Linked DNA regions of Arabidopsis thaliana. The protein of the gene in region 2 interacts with the protein of the main gene of each other region in a pairwise test. Each region holds a gene or a part of one and is shown on either strand. Other genes may lie near its edges. The genes, in order: MGP, SCR and AT5G24740.

Region 1 (8,366 bases), on a different chromosome or scaffold from region 2:
TTTATTACTATATTATATTGCGAAAAAAACAACTTTAAGTAATTATCACCAACTTTTTCTAACATGCTTTTTGCGAGCCCGAATGCATCAACGAACCATTATGGATGAAGGTGGACCAGATTTGACCGTTTGGTAGCAATTTCGATATTTTAACTAGCCTATTCAAATCTCTAACCATATACTATACGTAACATGAAAAATGCCATGTCCTGATCACCATCCAATGATTAGCCGTCAAATAATTCAAGAAAAACCATGGAAAATATATTTATTTTTATATATTTTTGTGAAGAAGATTTGTGAACTTGTAATTTAACTTTCTGAGCTGTATAAGTTATCCTCCATATATATATATATATATATAATTTTAAATATCTTGATAAATTTAAAATTATTTTTTTGATATTAAACGTATCCATATATATATATATATATATTTCATGGATACGTTTAATATCAAAAAAATAATTTTAAATTTATCAAGATATTTATGTACGAAGCAAAGTTCAAATATTTCAAAACAATAAATTTATCTTTTATAACAAAAAAACAATAAATTTAGCTGACCAAATATATGTTACGTTTTGCATCCACCATCATGAAGCACATAGTTAAATCACAAAAATTTATGATTATATCATTTGATACCGTGATTCACGAGAGTCATATACACCTTCGATCACTCTCAACCGGACGGCAAAATTTGTGGTCATACACGTGATTATATATATTAGAAGAAAAAAATGAAAGAATTTTCTTTTGTTAATTGTAATTGCATATTCCGTATTAACTTTTCTCTGAAGTTAGACAAGCCATTACCATCAGATTTAAAGCAATTGATCGTTTGAAACAAATAGTGGCGCCAGTGCTAAAACTAATAAATACATTGAGACTCGAAGCCCAGACTTGGTTAACTCATATATACGCAGATATATACGTTGAATAAATAACTATGATGGACAAATTTTAGTGAATTGTGTAAGATTATACATATTGTAACTGTTGAAGTTTGGTTTGCACTATAGGTGTATAGATAATTGACATTGAAGATTCATATACAGAGACAGTGACCATTTCACTTAACTACCACTTTTCTTTTTTCTCTCCATTAAAATGGAGTAATTAACTACCACTTGATCCTATGTTTAGGTATTACTCTCTTTTTCTCGCTTTGCACTCATGAATAGTTTCTATCAACTTTGTGGAAAATGGTTGGAAAGCTTGACTTTATCTTTTAATTACTTTAGGACCCATTAAAAAGGAATCTTTTAAATATCCCTTTTTTATTAAAGATTTTCACATATAATTGCATGAAACGTAACCTTTTTTTTTATTCGGGTAATAAGAACGTAACCATTTTGTTTATTGGTTCCATAAGCTTGTCAATCTATGAGTATGAGTTTCTCTTATCTGTAAAAAAAGTATACACATGCACTCGTATTTCTAATTTCCTAGCAATTGGAGACGATAAACCCTTTAAAAATAAAAAGCAATTGGAGACGATATATGATGATAAATATGTGAACTATTAAAAAAAAAAAAACTAAATATCAATTTGAAGTTTTGATCACAAATAAAATTTAATACAAAAATTTCCAATTACAATCATGAAATTGCTTTACAAAAAATTTCTATCATTTAAATATATATTAATTGTATCTGTGTTATAAGTAACAATGCATTCCAAGAGTTTAAAATAGAACGGAAAAGGTAAGGTGGTTGGAAAAAAAATCAATAAAAGATATAGAGTGATTTTGATTAGTAGAATGTCGATATCAATTTGACCGAAATTTATTGGATTGGTCAAGTCCGAGTAAAACAAGAAGGCCATTATCATCCACTAAGTGACATATGTATACTTTAAGTCTAATCATATCTCCATTATATTCTTATTTGTATTTCATATATCGCCAAGTTTCTATGCTATGGTATGGATCTAACCTTTGTCTTCTTTGAAATGTCGTTTATTGCATTTTATTTTTTATAGGCATACGTTTAATACAGTATATATATATATATATATATATATATATATAATTGTATACACATTTATTCATGGCTTAGTTTGTACTTTTTATTTTATTTTCCCAAGAATACGTATAGATGGATTCTAGCTAATGTTGTTTTATGTGAATCCATTTTAATACTTTTTGGCCTATGCTAATATTATTCTACATCTACATATGACCACATGAATCTTTGCGTTATAAATATGTGGATGCATCTAGTATATGCACACAAGCTTATGCTGGTGATAATTTTTAACGCAAGTTGCTTACTTGTTGGAATAAAACATTGGTGTAGATCAGTTGAAAATTTGATTAATTAACGTTTGCAGCAGACTAGCTAATCCGTTCTTACACTAATACCATTCAAAAATTAAAATAATAATGGGGTAATATGTGAGTTTCCCCTACACTATCGTGGGTATATATGTAATATATATAGTATATTTTCTACCAAAAAAAAATATATATATATAGTATATTGCGCATTTTATGAACCAAAAGCCTGTGGTATATCTGTAATGTACCCTCTGGATCTAAATCTGTCTTATCAATGTTATTCTCTTTGAGTTTACAATAAAGGAAATGTAGAAAATAACCGAGTAAGTAGTTTAGGTCCGGCAAGAAAAAAAAATGCTCCAATAGTTTTATATATGATGTTGAAATTGATATAGCCAGCTAAATTAAAAATAATTCATATGTATTTAAACTCATGAACTATGTTTAAATATATAAACGACGACCATGGAAACATATGTAAATGTAGACAAAGAATTATTCTTGACTAAATTTGAACTTTTTTATTTGTGTTGATGCGTTATATCTCCACTATCATCATTGTTCACAAATTTTTTTTGAACTATACTCAATTTACAATTATATTGTACAGATTCAAATCAGCATTTCTTTAGAAACTTGAAACATAGGATTTACTATTCGAACTTTATTTAAATATGAGCGGGATAGACCAAATTCAAATAGATAATTATCGTGTAAATTCATTTGTACGTAGGAGCTCTACATAACAAAAAAATTGACATATTTTTGTTTTTGGATACACTCATATGAACGCATCTCTTTATACTTTACAGTAACAAAAAAAAATCCCAGTTTCCCATTTGTGTAAATGCCCATCTGTATATAAATCTTGATTATATAAAGGGAACAATAATATACTATAACAACGTCTCGAAAAATAAGGGAATATTCTTGTGCCGCCAAAGTTCAAGAAGAAAAATCCAAAACTAAAACACTAAACTAATGTTATTATTTTATAGGAATCTTAAAACATGATTACATTATGATTAAAGTGTAAATTACCTAAAGAATTGGTAATTAAGTCAGCCCACAAGCTGACGACTTCTCTTCCTTCCAAAAATTCACCTGCATTTTGTCAGTTCTCTGTCTCTTCGTACTTTCGATTAATTAACTAACCATAATTATCTTACTTTCAGCTAGGGGTAAATAAAAAAGCACATTTAGTTTACTTTTCTTTGAAAATCGATATGATCGAGATTTTGATATGGTCGAATTGTTTACCGTTTTTTTTCATCTACAATATTATTTTATATATAGGATTTTATCCAAATTATAACACGATAATAATAATAGACTAGTTTATACAACTCCGATACATATGCTCAGTCTTAGGATAATAAACTACAAAATAAATTTTCAATTAAAATTTTGGTATGAGTTTATAATAGTTATGATCTCCGAGAGAAAATTTACTAGCTTGCACATATATAGTAGGTTAGAATTACTTTTTTGGTTCAATCTTTTTTTTTTTAATGGGATTTCGAGTTCTGATCTTTTTTAAAAATAAGTTAAGATTCTATTTTTTTTTAAAAAAATACGTTAGAAAATACTTTCATTTGTAGGGCGAGAAAAAGTTTGCTAAAGAAAAAGACGAATAGGGAGCATTGCAAAAAGATCTTTGTAAGAAAAAGCATGAACAAGATACTCGTACGTATCTACTAACTTCTCTTATACTCAATTCCACAAACATGAATTTTTTCACAATTATTAATATCGAAATTAGCAATTTTTTTGTTTTTGTCAAAGGAAAATTAACAATTTTTTGAAGGAAAATCGAATATCAAAACGAAAATTTGAAGTGGGGTACTTGACGGGAAGAGTTCGCATGGTTTTCGTTTTCACTGTCGACCGGACGATTATTCTCTTTTGCATATTTAGGTTTTTAATTTCGTTGTCGTATGTTGTTGGATTTTACCTCACGAGCACGTGCATGGGTACACGTGCATTGCAGGCTTTGTTCTCAACAATAAACGAGAGATGTGACCTGCGCCGTTGGATCTGTTTACTTCTTTGACCGCCTCAATTTACGGTCAAATTAAAATCTCAAATTATATACACCATGACTGTGCTTTATATACGACTTTCTACTAAAAATAACATTAAGAGAAACTATAAGGAGAAGAACAATTAAAGAAGTTAATTTTACCTGAGGATGATGAAAAAAAGAACGGAGAAAAGAAATAATGAGATCATCATTCCAAATAGAAAAAGGCAGACATAGAAACTTTTGTGTGTGTCATGACGCACTGCCACTGAAAAACCAAATAATCAAATATTTCCAGATAAATATAGTTAATTTCCACCGCCATTAACTTTTAACTGCGAAATATAAATAAAATGGGAAAAATATATGAAAGTTTAATAATTTATGACAATAGCTGCGACAGTTCTTACAGATCAAGGTGCTTATATTTTTTTGTTTGAAAGAAAGAGGAATATTATTTTTTAGTACACATATGGGGCTTAAGTGTGTAGGGTGTATATATAAAGTGATCACCCAATATAACTTATCTTTTGTGTTTGCCTCTCATTCATAACTACATCAGATTCTAAGTATTTCTATTTATTTTCTCTTCATTACCTTTGCTCATCCTCCATCTCTTATTTAAAACTTAATTAATTACCTTTTCAATCTCTTCCAACAAAACTTTTGTCCAAGAAGAAGACATGACAACTGAAGATCAGACAATTTCAAGTAGTGGAGGATATGTCCAAAGCTCATCAACAACTGATCATGTTGATCATCATCATCATGATCAACATGAATCCCTCAATCCTCCTCTTGTCAAGAAGAAGAGAAACCTCCCTGGAAATCCTGGTAACAATTAATTAAGTTTAATAGAGATCACAAAATAATTCAACCCTAATCAACATTTTTTTTTCTGTTTGCTGAAAAGTCATGTTCTTTTTTTTTTCGATCTTGATCTACAAACATGCATGCTTTCTACTGTTTAGATCTTTCACATGATCAAATATGTATCCAGAATTTGATTGTTATATTTCGTTCTCTATAGATCCAGAAGCTGAGGTCATAGCTCTATCTCCAAAGACACTTATGGCCACAAATCGTTTCCTCTGCGAGATATGTGGAAAAGGGTTTCAAAGAGACCAGAATCTACAGCTTCACCGTCGAGGACACAACCTCCCATGGAAGCTAAAGCAGAGGACGAGCAAAGAAGTAAGGAAACGAGTGTATGTATGTCCAGAAAAGAGTTGCGTCCACCACCATCCGACGAGGGCACTTGGTGATCTTACCGGCATTAAGAAACATTTTTGTCGGAAACATGGCGAGAAAAAGTGGAAGTGTGAGAAATGCGCCAAGAGATATGCAGTCCAATCTGACTGGAAGGCTCATTCCAAGACTTGTGGGACTAGAGAATATAGATGCGACTGTGGTACAATTTTCTCCAGGTACTTAGTGTATATCTACACACGTACGTACTAATAGATGATCTTTACATTTCCTCATCACGGTATCATATATTTTTAGTGGCGTAACAAATATTTTGATCACCTAGCTGTAAGCGCATATCATGTTTAATTGCATTATATATAGATTCAAATATGATTTTAACTTCTTAACCAGTAAAGTTAATCATGTTTGAATATATTAGAATATAGGAAGAATATATATATACTTATATACATATCTTAAAACTCATACTAAACCTAGCTAGAGCTTATATTTTACCGGGTGAATACTATGATGAAAAACAAAAAAAAAACGAATCTGTTACCTCAACTAACACTACTGTACCACTGGACCACACAAACAAATTTCGTTTTACCACGTTGTTTGTAAGTAAATAAGATTTTTTTTTTTTTTTTTGTGAAACAATTTGTAAGTAAATAAGATACATGTTTTTTGTTGGAAGTAGTAGCTCATGTAGGGTCTAAAACAAAATAATTTGGAGTTACTTTTGTATAGATATTGCCATATTGGTCATTCTCTGAGCATACGTGCTGCTTGATTTCTTGAATAAGACAGTTTCTTGGATTGACATATTTTGGTTAAAGTAAGATATACAACTTTATTTATCTTTTTTTCCTTAATTGCTATCTATATTACTATATACATACATATTAAACACAAGCATAAATTAGCGAGTGTGTATAGACGATATTGATCTTATTGGTGTGTATAATTTGGTCAACAGGAGAGACAGCTTCATTACACATAGAGCGTTCTGTGACGCTTTAGCAGAAGAAACCGCTAGGCTAAACGCAGCCTCGCATCTCAAAAGCTTTGCCGCAACCGCTGGTAGTAATCTAAACTATCATTATCTCATGGGGACACTTATCCCATCACCATCACTACCACAACCACCGTCGTTTCCGTTCGGACCACCGCAACCGCAACATCATCACCACCACCAATTCCCAATCACAACCAACAACTTCGATCATCAAGACGTCATGAAACCAGCGTCTACGCTCTCTTTATGGTCGGGAGGAAATATTAATCATCATCAGCAAGTGACCATCGAGGACCGTATGGCGCCGCAGCCGCATTCACCGCAAGAGGATTACAATTGGGTTTTCGGAAACGCGAATAATCACGGCGAGTTAATAACGACGAGCGATTCACTCATTACTCATGACAATAATATTAATATCGTCCAGAGTAAGGAAAACGCTAACGGGGCAACTTCTCTTTCCGTGCCTTCTCTTTTTAGCAGCGTTGACCAAATTACCCAAGACGCAAACGCTGCTTCTGTGGCTGTTGCAAATATGTCGGCGACTGCGTTACTCCAAAAAGCTGCTCAGATGGGAGCGACTTCTTCTACGTCACCAACGACGACGATTACTACCGACCAATCAGCGTATCTTCAGAGTTTTGCATCGAAGAGTAATCAGATTGTAGAAGATGGTGGCAGCGACAGGTTCTTTGCTTCGTTTGGATCGAACAGTGTCGAGTTAATGAGTAATAATAATAACGGTCTTCACGAGATCGGGAACCCTAGAAACGGCGTTACGGTCGTTTCGGGGATGGGTGAATTACAGAATTACCCTTGGAAGCGTAGAAGAGTTGATATTGGGAATGCGGGAGGAGGAGGGCAAACTCGGGATTTTCTTGGGGTTGGTGTACAAACAATATGCCATTCTTCCTCTATCAATGGATGGATTTGAAACACTCTTTAATGGATTTTTCTACCTTATTTATGAGTGAACTTAATTATCAAAGCTGATTTCTTTAATTAATTTTAAAAATGATTTATTTCACCAGACCAAAATCATAAATTAATTTTACGATCGATTGTGGTTATTAGATTTATCGTATCTTCTCAAATTCAAAATGATCACCTACGTCTCAAAATTTACTCTTCCATCAGATTTTTGCTAAATTTAGGTCAACTAGTCTATACTTGTAGTACTCTTCTTATTTTATTTTTTCAATTTATAGACTACACTAGACACAAGTATAATGTAGTGTGATTCACATATTGGTATTATTATATGAGCATTTTCGTTGAAGAATTTTTTTTTTTTTTTCGTTGAAGAAAAGTTAAGATTCATTCATATTCACTATGTGTAGAAAGGTGTTTGATATGCTTTTTTAAAAATAAATAAGTACTTAATCAATTGTATGTATTTTGTATATATGCCATAGAAAAAGTGTGGATCGAGAAGTGGTGGGCACACAAGAAAAACATGAAGGCTTTTGAGCTCAATAATTCTAAACTTAACTTGCAGGGCAATTCATAGTGGAGGAAAACATTAAGAAATGAAAAATGAAGAGAGATAGAAAAATAAAAGAGAAAAGATTTTCTTTAAAGAATAGCTAATAATAATTCTCACCAAAATAAAATAAAATTAGGTAATAATATTGCTAGTGGTTCTGGAAAATCTTAATGGGCTTAAACTTATGGGCCTTTGATTAGTACGGACCAAATCTTCAGTCGGTCTTTGGGAGATCTTTCTCTGTCTATCTCTCCAAAGTTTAAATCTTTCCTCAGAATCTTACTGTACTTTGTTCAAGTTTAGTACTTTATTCTGTACATTAGGTTGTTGAAAGATCGGAGAAAACCCATTGTGAAATTA
Region 2 (8,175 bases):
AAGGGCTACAGATACAATTGTCCACCACAAGATTAAACTATTGATAAAGACTTCACAGAGTTTAAGTAAATAGAAGGAAAGATAAATTAAAAACCCATCAAAAAAGATCAGTTAAAGGGTTTTAGTTGACTTCTTTTTTTATTGACATTTGAAAAATGGAAATTTCTCTATTTCCAAACAAACTATTGTATATGCAAACAAATACATTCTAGCATAGGTATGGACATCAATGTGTCGACATTAAATTAAAATGTTCATTTACCATTACTACCAAAATATGTATGCCACCCTAGTCTCAAACAAAGTGTCAATTGATGATACATATTCGTCACCAAAAGGAACTGCAAATAATCTCTAAGGAGCAAAAAACAGATATATTCTGAAAGTTTTATCGGTTCTATTTTTTTTAAGGTATTGTCGTCACCAAATCATGAGTAGTTATCACTTTGTTTGAGACTCTAGAATCACCAAACAATGAGTAGTTCTTCCGGTAATTAAATATATGTAATTTCTGTTCTTAACAGATGGGTTTATACTCTAGTCCTGACAATGAAATTTACAGAACTTTCATCCAAAACAATGCACCAACCTGAAAGCAAGAGGTTCGCCGCGCAAAATTGATACAGCCACAGATTGTACAGATCCAATCTGTGGGAACTATCATGTTTCGACTTCCACCATAACTGCGTCTAGAAGCATGTTCCTGCCTACGGGACACACCAGCCCTACCAGTAGGTTGGCTGCTACAACACACGCAATTTAGTGTAAGAATGTTATACTCTGATACTGAAACGGTCAAGAAACAATAATTTAAATGTGTAGTAATTCTATGATCCCTCCATAGGTAATATCTAAATCAATCAAAGTCTTATGTTTATTTAAAAAAAGACCTGTAATGGAACATAAGTTTCCTTCCATCCAAAACTATACCATCATGCTCAATTCTATCCATCATGGTGCGTGCGGCATCCTGCTCAGACAAAATACATAAATGCACACAGTGTTGAAGAAATCACAAGAAAAAGCGCAAGGAATTAACAGATTAGTTGAAAGCAAATACCACCGTGGGGAAATCAATAAAAGCAAATCCACGAGAAATCCCAGAATTTTGCTCCCGAATAACACGAACATGATGCAAAGGACCCCATTCAGCCTAGCATGCACATGGGAATAATGAAGTCATGCATGAAAAATTGTTTAAACCTGAGGACATACAGATTCAAAAAAATGAAGAGTTTACCAGAATCTGGTATAGATCTTCTTCTGTTGATTTCATAGAGAGACCCTTCACAACAACAGTGGCGGATGGGGTCTAGCAAAAACCATAAAAATATAGGAACGGATTTTTTAAATGTCTTCGCAACAAAAGAATATAGACCAGGGATGAGAGAATATTTTATACAGCAGAAAAATGATCCTGGTTATGTCTATCTTCATATTCTCTTCGCCTCTCACTTTCATTCCAGTGATCCCCCTCATAGCTGTCCTCCCGGTAACTCCGCCCATGGCTCCGACCTCTAGGAGATCTTGATCTAGAGAACTCCCCACGTCCGGTAGATCGAGATCGTGACTTCTCATATCTCTTATGAGGACTCTCATCTCTTTCGCGGCTGTAACATCTTTTGTCCCACTCCCTATCACGTGAATCCCATTCTCTATCTCGAGAATTCCGTTCTCTGTCCTGCGGATCACGGCTCTTTCGACTGCCATCTCTCACACTGGCCCTTTCATACTCAGAATCATAACTTCGGCGAGTATAATCATAATCTTTTTCACGACCATCATCTCTGCTATGATGGTAATTTTTCGATCTATAGTTGTTATCATTACAAGAATAGTCATCGCAGCCATCATATCTGGACGACCTTTCGTGTTCATGATCACGGTAATGTCCATTACGACTCCCAGCTTCACTATCATGATAATAGTCAGCAGCATAATTTGAATCGATGTAAGGCTTTTCTTGCCTGCGAAGTTCACTGGGATAATTTTCTTCATAGTTTCGCTTTCTAGATTGAGGCAAGTCACCCAGAGTATTATGTCCAGGTGGATAGTTGTAGACATCATCCCGCATCAACCTTTCATCAGGATATCCGTCATCATATGATACGCCAAACCTGTAAGAGCAATGTAGTATAGGTACAGAAAAGATATTAAAAAAATGAAATATGAACTATCATGAATATTTCGGCACAAGTAACCAAACCAAATAAAGTACAAGAAATACAATTTAGTTACAGTAGCTAAAATAAATATACCCCCATGAGCAATAACAAATTAACAACTACATCAATGTAATCCATTTTACTAGCACTCACCGATGATTTGGATCATGCTGAGTACCATAACCCTCCGGAGCCTGTGAATTGAAGAGAATAAGCTATGTCAGCAACAAACATCATTGACGGATATTACATTAGCCAAATCCCATCCACATCCTCACTCTCCCAAGTCTCTCACTCCACGGATGAGTTGAGATTCATAACATCCCTAAAAATATCTTGTTTATCATCCCATATATGTAAGGAGAAAACCACAATTACACTGTTATTATCCCATTCTTGCTGACGACCATATCGACTAGGATCCATTTCCGGCCAGTGCACCAAGCAAATCTTTGATGGTCTGAGAGAATATTCAAAGCTTAATATTTAAAGCTCTTTCCTGAAAATCACGTATAGAGTCTGAGACAGGTATATCTTAATGCATATATAATTAAGAATTCCCAACACTGATCACAAAGAGACTTTGTAGGAACTAGCTAGAGATTCTCTCACTCTCAGAGTAGAAAAACATGCATTGGCGATGAAGTAACAAAAGCACGAGAAGAATGCATACAACAGTAGAGATCATTATATTTTCAGCTGACGATTAGGCCTAAATTCTCAGTAATCGAGTCTTAAAAGCTATACAAAGTAACATACAAAAAACTTGAACTGGTCACATCCACGAAATCCTCAATAAAAAAGAAACAGGTAAAAATGAGAATACCTGTGATGAACTGAAAGCAGCACAACGACGCCGGACCAAAGACACCAGTGAATGGAAGATGAAGATGAGCTGTGATAACAGCGGAACAAAGACTTGGAATAAGAGATTGATTAATAGATAGAGCGCAAAATCAGGGAGCCGATAACCAGAGGTCAGAGAAACAAGCCTGAAACCGGTGACAAATCAGATACGCTGCGATCGATACAGAAACGAGAGAGCTCGAGCGATGAAGTAGCCGTATAAATCGGAATGGTTTCTACCGTGGGAACTCAAATTGAAAATATTCAACAGCGATCGATGAATTACAAGAGAAATGAATTCAGAGCTCCACGGTGGTGGACTTGGCCGAATCCAACTTTAACCAGATTAGGGTTTCGTTGTTGTTCAAGCGAAATATGAAAAGGCGTAGATGAGTTTTTTTTTTTTTAATTGAAAAATCCAAACATCTCAATTTCTTTGCCATAACAAAAATAAAAAACAACATGTATATATTTTTTTTTTGGAAAAAAGTAAACCAAAACAATTCAAGTTGCTAAAAAAAAAATACATAACAATTCCCAAAAAAAAAAATGGTAGCCTTCAAAAGAATTGTGTATTTGTAAATGATTTTTCAGTTAAACGTGTTATCATTTTTATTATTGATGTACCATTTTCAAGTGTTTTCTTCAATATCAAGTGTTCTAATCTTCATGATTAACTTCTATGTATTCCACCAATCAGGTAGCCAATACAGAGTGTGAGTGAGAACAATTTGACTTCAAAAAATCCTCTCTTTTTGATACATAACAAAAAAAAAACAGGTAAATCTATTTATGGGCACATTGTTTGTGAAAAAGGAGAAGAAAACTAAGAACGAGGCGTCCAAGCTGAAGCAGTGAGTAACGAAAGATCTTTCCATCCAAGCTTAAGTGTACCATTATCATCAACCAAAGTGTAACCATCCGAAGGAAACATTCCCAACAGTAGAGTCGCTTGTGTAGCTGCATTTCCAGCTAAAGATATACCTTTAAACCCACATTGTTGCATTTTCTCCCTCCAGCTCTCAAACTTCACTTCACCGCTTCTCGATGGTCCTCCAACCGCTAATACATTCCGTATCTCTTTCGATAATAGCTGCTGTTCCACGACATGTCTCTCTTCACTCTCTTCGCCGTAGCTTGCTCCCAGTGAGTCAAAGAGTGCAGAGTAGTAATGTATTGCTTCTACAAATCTTCCTAAGAAAGAACCAGCGTGGCTCAAATCTTGTTCCACTACTGTCACAACTTTAGGAGCTAATCTGTTCATTCCCCAATCATTAACCAAAAAAGCCACTTTTTAGAACATATCTTTCCTATATAATCTTAAAATAATTTATAGATAAAGAGTGATTAAAAGGTAATGTTTATTTTACCTTTGGAGTAACCAGAGAGTGTGTGCATCAGAGCCAGTGACATCATAAAGAGAATGTTGAAGCCAGTGAACAGCCACAGCTTCCCTTTTCCTCACATTGAGTCTCTCAGTGTCCAAGTTTCCAACTTTCTCAGCTAAAGGGCAGAACTCAAAAGGCAGGCCAAGCTTATCTGCGAAATCCGAAAGACGTTTCCCTGTAGCCTGAAGAGCTTCCATGGAAGTACCAAGTCCCGTGAGTCGCACGTGTGGAGGTCCTCCAGGTCTAGAAGCAAGAATGTGGAATAAACCAGGCCATTGAAGTCCCTGCATGATGTCCAAGTCAATGATGTGTACACTGTCTTCTTTCTCAAATGCTTCTTGAATCGCCTGATTCGCTGTAAAGTGTGAGAATTTCACTAAAGGGCTTATCCCATTAAAGACCTGAAACGCAGAGACCATTTTCAAGCTATGCGTTTGAGGCATCCACCGTGAAGGCAAAGCCGCGTAAATTCCGAGACACGAGTTGAGTAATCTCGCTGACATAGCTTCCGAGAAGTAAGCAGCTACTCTCTGCGCTGAGGTCCCGTAAGGAGTTGATAACTGAGAGATCTCAAGAAGAAGCTTGTTTGCTTCTTCGAGATTATCAGCAGAGACAGCTTCAGCACACTGTAGCAGCAATGTGAGAAGGTGTAATCCTTCTTCGTCTTGCTTCTGCCTCTTAATCTCTTCCTTCCTCTCTCTTAAAGCCTCCGCCGTATTTGTTTGGACGGCGGGAACAGTGGCCGTCACTGTCTCTGGTTGCGGTGGTGCATCGGTAGAAGAATTTTCTCTTTCTTGCTGCTGAATCGGAGGAGGAGGAGGCTTATGCTGTTGTTGTTGTTGTTGGTGCTGCTGTTGCTGTTGTGGAGGAGAAGGATTGTTGGAGATCTGATAGAGAGGTTCGAAAGTTTGAGGAGAAGGGTCAGAGGAAGAGGAAGGATCAAGGAGCATGAGAGATCGGAGCCTGTATTCAAGAAGAGCACCGAGATTTGGGTTACAAGGGAAGATAATGTCTCTAACGTTTTGGATAAGTTGAGGAATAGAGACTGAAGTTGAGGAATGGATAAGGTCTCTGATAATGGCGTCAACCCATACAGTAGGTGAAGCAGAAGAAGATGAAGAGTCTTGATCCATTGGTTGTACGGACATCATAACATTCCGACCACCACGGTCTGAAGGAAAAACGGGAAGACCAGAGAAGCCACAAACAGAGAGTGGTGGGTTTGGTTGAGAAGATACAGTAGCCGCCGCCGTAAGAGACGGTGGTTGTTGTGGTGTGACAGTATTGTAGTTGGAGTCAAGAAGGTGAGAGACACGGCGAGGAGGACGAGAGGAGTTGTTGTAGTCAGGGTTAGAAGACATCTCGGAAGCTAATCTTTTTCTCACCATCACTAAAGGAGGAGGAGGAGGAGGAGGAGGACCACGGTTGTTGCTGCTGCTACTACCGGAAGAAGTTGTTCTCAGAGGACTATGAGGAGGAGGTTGACCACCGTTGAAATCGCCGGATTCCGCCATGGAGATTGAAGGGTTGTTGGTCGTGAGATTGCATGGTTATAAATAAGGTAAGAAAAGGGTTAAATCCAAAATCGAAAATTTCCAAACAGAAAAAGGTTTGGTAGTAGAAAAGCTAGACTCTTTTATCAATGGTGGGATTCTTAAATTACTTGATCGTCTTCACGATCTCCGATGAGGAGAAAAAGCAAAAACTCAGTGAGGGGGTGAGAATTTGGAAGGATGTGGGTTGGAGATGAATCCCGGAAAAAGGGGTTAGGGGTAATTGAGGAGGACGAGGAGGACAGTGAAGCCTGGCCGTATCTAAGTCGTCTTCCACCTTTCGAATTATTGTGAATGTCGCTTCGTACATTTAATGACTCTTTCTATCTCTATTCATCTTAACTCTTTCTCTCTCTGTTTCTGTTTTTTTCTTCTTAATTAATTTGAGTTTTGAAAAATAATAAAAATGGGAAGAGATTAGGTGGGTGATCGGAAAATGTTCGTCGTTGTGTGTTTGACGTCTTCCGTTTGCCGATCCATTTCGTTTCTTCTTGACCTCTCTCTCGAACTAACCACAAGAAGATAATATTTTGTTTGTTTGGTCTATAATAATAGAGCTCTATTTCGTGGAACCGGTACAATATATAACAAAATTTCAGAATATTATGATGTATGACAAAGTTAATAAATTATGGAATATCAAAATTGTTGAATAATGAAAAAGATGATCTTGCTAATTACAAAATTGAGTAGTAAATGATGTAAATAAAATGTCAGATTCAGTTCATTATGTGAAATGAATGGGTTTCTATTCTATAGAGCTACATGAGTTGGATTCATAAACCGATTTATTAGTTATGGTCATATGGAGTCAGCAGGTTGCACCACTAGTCATTTGATTTAGGTTTGGTATGAGAGATGGGATGAAGAAGTCTCTCACACAATCAAAGTGTGGTACGATGTGCTTACTAAGATGGGGCACCAACTTGCAATTTTGTGCTAAAATTAGAAAGATGGTATTCCTTAAACCGTACTAATCTAAAGAGAGGAGAAAAATAAAGGAATCCAAGTAAAGATTTAGACAAAACAAGGATAAGAAAAGGGAAAAAGCATTAGTCCCCTTGTATATTAGTATCATATTAAAGGCATTTTACTTGAGAGGAATTGGACAAGACGTAGAGCTAAAACAGTAAATAACAAAAAAGGAAAAAGATGCACATGTTTTGATGAGAGGCCATTACATACATACACCAACTGTCAAACCCCAGTTCCCGATAAAATCTGAAACTAGTGTTTGACATTTTGCTTTCATCTGCATCCTCATCTTTTCCCTTTTGTTCTTTTTTTAACAATTTTTAGAAAATTTGCTATTATTATATTATTTTTCTTACAAAGTTTTGGACCTGTTTGACTGACAATTTTTAGACTTTTGTACGTCAAACACTAGCCCCATGGCCAATTTAATAATCGCATGGCAGTGAACCCAAGAAGAAACCATCCACGCTTTCTACGATCTTATTTTTTCTTCTCCTTTTTCACTTCAAATTATTTTTTATTACTTCTCTTCACAACACAAACACACGGCTCAATATGAAAGTTTCTCAGCGTAAAAAGCTGAATGTCTTTCTCCAAGTCCATATTTGAATAGTCTTTTCTGCCCTTTTAGACTTAATTTGTTAATTTTTGAGTGATCTTAACGAATACCATGTACTATTATACACAAAAAATGTGAAATGTATTTTACTACATAGTTTTTTTTAATACTCTTTATCTTCAATTTAACTGATATTAAGGATTTTCCCAAAATTTATCCAATTTTAAGAAAGTATATAAAATATTTTAATATATCTTAGAACACCATTTATTAACATCAAAGTCTCTATAATAGAAATGCTCATTAAAACCAAAATAAAAATGAAATGTTTGTAAATCACAAATGCACTTAAACAATATCTAGCAATAGCATACATTATAAAATAATTCTAACATTACATAGCCCAAATGCAAATATCTGTTTGGCAACAAAAACCTTAAAAAGTCTCTTGTTGGCAAAGCGCTACAGAGTTACAGTTTATAGGCCCATTAAGGCCCATCAAAAGGTTTCTGATAAACAAAGTCCTCTTCCTCTATCCCTTATCCATTCAACACCAGCAAAATCCGCTTTGTTGCAGAGGATCACAATCTAATGGCGATTCCAATGTCCATGGCAATGGCGACTCCTACAGATTCCGTGAGCAGAGTCTGGAGTATGTCTTCTCTCAAATCAGCTCTTCCCTCCACCGC
Region 3 (7,683 bases), on a different chromosome or scaffold from region 2:
CTGTTTTCCATTAAGAAAGGGTAGAGACTAATTGAATGTAACAGATTCACAGTTAAAGATGACTCGCAGTTTTTTTTCTGCCTTGAGAACACATTATAAAATCTCAGTCTAATCGTCATTGACCTGGAAAAGCTTCGTTCTCTGCGTTTCACTGCATCCATTTTTTTCTTATTAACAGATTACTGGCCATTGAGCGTTCGAGTCTGCGGCTTTTGGTTTCTGCCCAATGAATGGCAGTTTTCATGCAACGAGTGTGGAGACAATCCTTTTGCAGGGCGCCTGGGTACAGACGATTCACATACATGCTCAAACCACACTGAGTTATATACATTTATATCGTCTTGTGAGCCAGCTCTGCCTATCTTTGTAGGGTTGAGTTCTGTTGGAAGGTCTAAATTTAAGTTGATCTCTCTGCATCATTTCTGATTATGTTTTCAACACCTTTGGCGTCAGAAAAAAACTGAGACTTATTCTGTCAGATATTTAACGCATGCTGAATTAGTGTACGGTAGTGATTGTTCTCTTTGCTTTTGCAGCATGGGCTTTGTAAGGGATCCCATAGCCTTTCTTCGAGTTCTCCAATCTGTTATTCAGATTACAGGTTACAGATTTATCATTTTCACAGCTAGTTATGGACCTTTAGATGCAGCAATTAGGACCATTGCTAATGGATCAGATTCAAGTGAGAAACAACCGTTACATGCGGGAATCTCTATTTTCAACGGCAAGCTTTTCTGCTTCTCTGGGTGAGCACCAATTTGCCCAATATTTAGTTGGCGATCTACACTGTGGCCATATAACTTTCTTAATTCGTTGTCTCTCTGAATTAGTATGGTGCCATACAACTGGATGTTCCGAACATGCGCTGCAGCGATTCATCACGGTGGCAGGTAAAAATGTCACATGGATATCTTTTCTTGGTGAGCATGGACACACATATAAATAGACGTGAACTGATTTTTTCTTGTCTTTCTATATGAATTGTGTCCCCTGTGGAAATCAGCGGTTCTGTTGCTGCAGCATTACAGGCTGGAATCCCGCAGGTTTGTGTTTGTATGTTAGTTTATTAGATCTTTGATATATAAGGGTAAAACTAATTGTTTGTCGAGAAGGATCAGTAGAAATATAGCTGTACAGTAACCAGTACATCAGAAGAACATGTCATGGTCCTTCAATAAACTTTATTGCTATATGATTACTCAGCCAAAAACTTTACTAGTAATTTTGCTCATAAACCATAGTTTTGTGCACTGCTTGGTTACAAAATGATGATTAACGTTCTTAAAGCGTTATCCATTTCAAGTTGTAATGCCAAAAAGTGACCACATAATGTGTGTATATGTCTTTTTACAGATCATATGCCCATTTATGCTGGATCAGTTCTATTGGGCAGAAAAGATGTCTTGGCTTGGAGTTGCTCCTCAACCATTGAAAAGAAACCACCTGCTTCTAGAGGACTCAAATGATGAGAAGAACATCACGGAAGCTGCACAAGTGGTAGCGAAAGCCATATACGATGCACTGTCTGCAAAGACTAGGGCTCGTGCCATGGAAATTGCTGAAATATTATCTCTTGAGGTAACTATTTACGATCAGTTTACTATTCTTCTCCTCCTGATCCATGCCCCCAGAATCAAAGTATCCTTTCTTCACATGGAGTTTTTCTTTTCTTTTCGATGTAGCGTAGTCTTTTCTCTTTCATAGTTTTGAGTAATTTCTGGCAACTGGTAGTTTTAAGGTATCCAAAAATTAATGATTTCAGGATGGAGTCACAGAAGCTGTGAGAGTGCTTAGAGAAGAGGTGTGTGTAGTTTCAGGCAGCAACCGAATATTTTGATGAGCATTGTCATATATACAACGTAAAGCTCATATCAAGTGATGGTGATCAATGCCCTACCGATTGTTGGCATCCATAAATTTAACGTCTATTAATGTTACCAAGTCTCCATCTGTCCCAATATAAAAGACGTTTAAGGATTTTCTCTTTTATTCCATTTTATTAGTTTTCTCTAGTTTCTATGTACAATTTATATCATTTTATGACTACTTAAATTGTACAATATTTATTTCTATTAGTTGAAATTTTATAAATGAAAAAACATCTATGATTTCTTTATCTTTGGATTAAAATATATAAGACATCATATAATTGTTTTCCATTTAACTAAAATCAGTTTTAGAGATTTGAATGTTTTAAAAAGTTTGTGATTTTTTTTTTTTTTTGTGGGTCAAAAGAGTGCTAACTTTATTATATCATATAGAGCCATTACAAACTAGTACAAGCCTGAAAGTTTAGCGGGAGACTCAAACCCGAGAGTTTACGAGAAGCCTAAAGAGAATTACAAACAAAAGACACACAAAAATGGGTAAAACATACCCACATAACTAAGTTTTTAAACGATCTTAGCAAACTGGAAAGAAACAGATCAAACTAACAAGGAACTAATAGTAAGAGAAATTCCAATACAAAATAAAATACTAAGAAGAGAAAAACTGAATCTCTCGCTTAACCATCATCCCCATTAACCTTTACATTTAACGTGTGACATGGCGAAGCCATGAGTGCAATCCCATCAACCCACAATCAACCCGAAACTTCTACAAGAGCCTCAAACATCGAAGCCATGAGTCCCAAAAATTTGCGAGTTTCAAATCCCTTAAATAAGAGCCAATTAGCGTATTAGCCGGTTAGCGTAATCAAATTTGCAAAAATTGGGAAATTTTGGTCTGACCCGGTTCGGTTTGAAAGGTACGAAACCGAAAGAAATATTCGTCTTGTGATTGTGAAGAAGAAAGAAGACAAGTCTTTGTTTCGTCGACGGGAAAGAAAAACCCTACGATATTCCTCGACTCGTTTACACTTCTCCGACCACCGTCTCTTTCCTTCTTCTCCCGACGGAGTAAAATTCGTTATCGCGTTTTGAATCACCGGATTATGAAATAGCGATTGAAAGATGCTTGAAGGATATGTGCAAGGATTTGTGAACCTGTTGTTAGGGTACTTAGGTCGTTACATTAAAGACATCCAGAAAGACCAGCTCAAGATCTCACTCTGGAATGGTATTTTCACCGTCTTCTCTTTCCATTTTCCGTTTCAACGAACACCACAATCTCCCACTGTATTTGATGATTTACGCACAATTTCTTGCTTCTAACTGCAGGAGAAGTCTTATTGGAGAACGTGGAATTGAATCCTGAGGCGTTTGAGTATTTGCAGCTTCCAATTGCTCTCAAGCAAGGTGATAGTTAGTGGATTGAAGTTTCGATTCTGTCAGCTTTTTTTCGTTTTCTCGGGATCAAATCGTTTATTGTTTATATAGGCCGTGTTGGGAAATTGAGCATTAAAATTCCATGGAAGAAACTTCATAGGGATCCTGTAACCATTATGATTGAAGATGTCTTTATATGTGCATCGCAACGCAATGATCAAGAGGTGATTACTCTTGTTTAGTAGCCCTTTTCTACATGAAAGTGTTTGCCTCTAAAACCATATATGTATATTGCTTGGTCATTGCAGTGGAGTTCAGATGTCGTTGAGAAAAGAGAGTTTGCTGGTAAGAAAGCTAAACTTGCTTCTGCAGAACTGGCAAAATTGTCCAGGCGTGTCTTCGGTGAGCAAATATACTTCTTGTCCTACAAAATTTATCTTTCCTATACAAAATTTGTTGAGTTCCTTCATTTTTTTTCCCAGACAATCCAGGCGGAAATTCTTATATGTCATATATTACTGCCAAGGTAACATTACGTTCCGCAATCCTCCTTTTGCTACCTCTAGTTAATCATCTTACATTTTTCATATTATGATTGATCTGTTACTGGTTTTTAGTAGATCTTCCTGATTTTGGATGAGGTTATCAATCTTATTTATTTTATTTTTTTCTACTATGTTAACGTTCCTTCTTTCTTGGCTTAGATTCTTGATAGCGTTCAAGTGTCCATCAAAAATTTTCACATCTTATACTCAGATGCACAACCTGAATCGGTAAGTCTCTTGCTTGTTCAGTTTAATTAGTTTGCTAGAATATAGGCTTGTATTTTGTTATCCTCCCATTGATATTGTTGAAACTTATATACATCGATCATATCGTAGTATTGGTTTGTTTGTGAGAGCATAGCATTTATCATGGAGGATATGTATCTAGATAGAGTCAAATATATTTGAGCATTGTGATGCTAAACTACTATCAGTCTTTCTTGTGATTCACTAGAATATAACTTGAATAATCGTTTGGTGTTGTCTACTTTCCCACTTTCATATGTTTTTACTCTAAACTGCTGTCACAGGGGCAAGTTGTATTAGGATTGCGGTTTTCAAGCTTGACAGTTACTAAACAAAACTCAGTTGGGTAATCTCTTTATGCACCTTCTCTTGCACTTTTAAATGTACTCCACTTTGTGTTTGATTCCGAGCTTTGCTTTATATATGGCAAGGATATGTTCTTTGAATTACATTGTGAGACAGCAGAGAGCAGACCCCGCATTAATTTCTTTCCAGTTGCCTTGTTTCTTCTATGTCACTTAATATATATTCTAGTTTCGTATTTGATTCCTTGTAGCTTTGCTTTATTCTATTGGTTTGGCGATACCCCATTATAACTTTCTTCCAACTGTCTCTTTTCTTACTGTAAAATCTCCTTAAACCTGTTTTTTCCATAAGCTAAATTATTGTTGATAAGACAAGACCTGTGGTGGATATATGTGCTTCCTGAAATATTTGACATGATGTCTCTGTTGAATATCAGGCCATCAGTTGGTAGGGTGAGAGGGGGGCAAGTGAATATACTTGTGGAGGTTGAAGGTTTGGAAATATATTGTGACATGTATGAGGGAAACATGGACTTTCCAAGTGTTAATGAAAAAATAGGTTTTGACAATTGGTGCCAGTCAAGATTGCAAAGCAATAGATTTGGTTATTTACTGAAGCCAGTCCATGTTTCTGTAACGCTATTGGTAATGGATCTAAAACAGCGTCATTGGTTTGCTGTCTCTTAACATCTTTTGTTATCATCTAATCTTTGTTGCTGCTTCAAGGTGCTACATCCTTGCTCTTGCTTTAGGGTTATGTTAAAAATGAGATGTACACATTTATATGTTATATCTGCCGTACTGAGTCTTGATTTACCTGATGGCCTACGAAATTTTGATGACATATTAATCAATCAATGTTATCAGAAAGGATTTGCATAACATTTTTGCCAATTCGTTTATATGTCACCATCAGCTCCATATGGACATTGTGTTTGGTGAAAGATTTTTACAGCTATCTGATCAATGATACAATATTTATACAGAAAGTAAATTGGTCTATGCATCAGCTATTGCTTGAGTGCATTTTTGTGCTGTATGTAAATAGGCATTCTTCATTTTGCCTGATATACTTCTTTGCATAGGTCAATCGATCTGGAGAGCTTTATGACGATCTTCCTCAGTATTCTATCAGCGCTGAGTTGACTGATGTGGTTAGTTCTCAGAAATTGCTAAACTAGGTTCAGAGCTCAGATTTATTTACCATTTCATGACTCACTCTAACTTCCAATTGGCACTGATGCGTTTTAGGTGGTGACTCTGAATGAATTTCAATTGCAGCAGATTCTTATTCTGTTAGATTATTTGCAAACCAGCCAGTTGCGTGAGAGGTAAGCTTTCATTAGGGTAGCGATAATTTTTCCTCAATTCAAACTTTTTTTCCTCCTGAGATTTAGCTCTATTATTGGATACTACAGAACGTTTTTTTGAAGAACTACTGATTAAAGAACCTTTTAAATGGTATAGGTATGGGCGGTATCGTCCCTGCTCCACTTCTTTATCGAGGAAACCACCTGGATGGCAGAAACTTTGGTGGCACTATGCCCAAAATTCAGTTTTATCTGATGTACGGAAGAAACTGTGGAAAACTTCATGGAGATTTCTTGAACAGCGAATGTAAGTTTACGTTGCTTACATCATTTCTTTTCTTTTAATTAGATGATGCTTAATAGCTATTACAATTTTGATTTCTCGTAAAACTTCTGCATACTTTACTTCCACGCAAATAACTTACTGTTTCATGGCATAAGTAGACAAATACTCCTGGAATGTATTCAAGCGGTCTGCTCACTTTTAGATTTTTGTTTCGGCGAAAAAATACAGGAGAATCCGCAGGAGGTATATCAACTTCTACAAGATAAAGCTAGATCTCCTTCTCAGAGAACAGGCAAGGATCTTATTTTCCTCCTTACCTGATTAGAAGTGTCAGGGTTTGTTCATTATGTTGCAATGTGTCCTCCTATTTGTTTAACTGCATGAACTTGCCTAACCCAGCCTGTTGGATTCTATGTAGATATAGGAAGCCTTATTAGTTTTAGGTGATTTTACATAACTAGGGAGCATCTCATGAGGTGGTTTTTCATTTCGATGTGTTTTGTCCTACTACTGCAAAATGTAAATGAATGGATAGTGGTAAGGAGATGGTTTAGAAGCACATTTCACATCATATAAGTCTATCAGGGAGCATATTATGAGGTGATTAATCATCTGGTTGTGTTCTAAGAATGCGTAATTAACTAGAAGATGATTTAGAAGCATATTTAAATACGGGCTGCCATTATTTTAAAATCTTATATCTTAGCACGTGCTTCCGTATGTATGCAAAAGGTAGACGGGTAGTGAATTTTTCTTAGCTTGGCGCGCTTGCTTCCCTCTAAAGAAGCACGGTTTATTCTGTTTTATTTCATAGGTAGCTGTAGCAGTGTAGGGAACTTTTAAAATTGTTGGAATATTGAAATCAGAGGTAGAAATTGTAGAATACTTGGTCTAAGCGTCATCATACATTTCAAAAAATATGGAAATTGAAGAAACATTTCTCTTCTTCTAACATCAATAAAGTACTCTATAGGAGGTTATCATCGTAAAAATGTAGTTGTTCTGAAATCGCTGACTGAAAGAAATACATATGTTCTCGTCCCTAAACTTTTTGTTGCTTAGCCATAGTCTCCATCATATATATGTTGCTAAGATGCTTTACGGTCGACATATTTGTACATATTTTGTTCAACTAATGCGCGTAACCTTCATAACATTCAAATGAATTGGTGTATTATATATATTTCTTCTATAGCATTTTCAAACCTGAGTTGTTCTTGTCATGTGGCTTCTCTACTAATATGTCTGTGCTATATGCTTCTGGCTACAGTCAATCGATAAGTCCATCCGTTTGGGTTTGGAAGAATTGGAGAAGAAGTCTGATATTGATGATATCTTAAGTTATAGGTCTGCAGCGGAAGGTGAGATGCAGGTATGGTAAATTAGGTTGCTGTTGTAGCAATTTATACTTTGGCTGTGATACCAAAGTCTGTTCAGATATCTGCCATAAGTTGATGCCCTAGCAATGGCAATTTCTTATCTGTCCTTTTACCTTGGATCTTACTATGCAGGAAGCTTGCTCAGAATTGACAGTAAACATGGGAGCGACTGGTGCCACTAGATCCGAAAAGGAACAGAGTGCCCCTGAAAAGGAACCGAGTGACGATCCTACATTAAATAAGTCGCGTGGGTGGTTGAACTGGTTGTCACGGGGAATGCTTGGTGCCGGAGGCACAGAGGATTCAAGTCAGTTTTCTGGTGTTGTTTCTGATGAAGTTGTCAAGGTATTTTAAGTACTAATTAATAGCAGTAGAGTTTCAGAATTCTAGAATTCTTCGAAAC

What was found.
Region 1: the proteins of SCR (region 2) and MGP interact in binary tests that used the Arabidopsis thaliana proteins (3 or more experiments, as listed by UniProt).
Region 3: the proteins of SCR (region 2) and AT5G24740 interact in a protein complementation assay, tested with the Arabidopsis thaliana proteins (one study listed by BioGRID).

The regions. Positions count from the first base shown.
Region 1 is NC_003070.9:966,684-975,049, reverse strand, and holds MGP (C2H2 and C2HC zinc fingers superfamily protein), read left to right. Parts: upstream 1-4,715; 5' UTR 4,716-4,991; coding exon 4,992-5,142; intron 5,143-5,338; coding exon 5,339-5,735; intron 5,736-6,481; coding exon 6,482-7,454; 3' UTR 7,455-7,580; downstream 7,581-8,366. UniProt on the Arabidopsis thaliana protein: Transcription factor that regulates tissue boundaries and asymmetric cell division. Contributes to the sequestration of 'SHORT-ROOT' to the nucleus. Interacts with the SCR and MGP promoters.
Region 2 is NC_003074.8:20,068,288-20,076,462, reverse strand, and holds SCR (GRAS family transcription factor), read right to left. Parts: upstream 6,477-8,175; 5' UTR 5,914-6,476; coding exon 4,382-5,913; intron 4,268-4,381; coding exon 3,838-4,267; 3' UTR 3,585-3,837; downstream 1-3,584. Other genes in the region: SUA (suppressor of abi3-5), read right to left, coding at 590-743, 891-970, 1,061-1,153, 1,241-1,312, 1,403-2,117, 2,319-2,359, 2,544-2,591; AT3G54210 (Ribosomal protein L17 family protein), read left to right, coding at 8,078-8,175. UniProt on the Arabidopsis thaliana protein: Transcription factor required for quiescent center cells specification and maintenance of surrounding stem cells, and for the asymmetric cell division involved in radial pattern formation in roots.
Region 3 is NC_003076.8:8,484,975-8,492,657, reverse strand, and holds the start of AT5G24740 (vacuolar protein sorting-associated protein, putative (DUF1162)), read left to right. Parts: upstream 1-2,790; 5' UTR 2,791-2,954; coding exon 2,955-3,060; intron 3,061-3,161; coding exon 3,162-3,239; intron 3,240-3,320; coding exon 3,321-3,433; intron 3,434-3,517; coding exon 3,518-3,611; intron 3,612-3,691; coding exon 3,692-3,735; intron 3,736-3,913; coding exon 3,914-3,982; intron 3,983-4,284; coding exon 4,285-4,346; intron 4,347-4,634; exon of another isoform or gene 4,635-4,719; coding exon of another isoform or gene 4,720-4,742; coding exon 4,743-4,950; intron 4,951-5,390; coding exon 5,391-5,459; intron 5,460-5,556; coding exon 5,557-5,636; intron 5,637-5,772; coding exon 5,773-5,922; intron 5,923-6,129; coding exon 6,130-6,193; intron 6,194-7,171; coding exon 7,172-7,273; intron 7,274-7,412; coding exon 7,413-7,625; intron 7,626-7,683. Other genes in the region: AT5G24750 (UDP-Glycosyltransferase superfamily protein), read left to right, coding at 179-389, 537-746, 831-890, 1,004-1,043, 1,354-1,578, 1,763-1,837.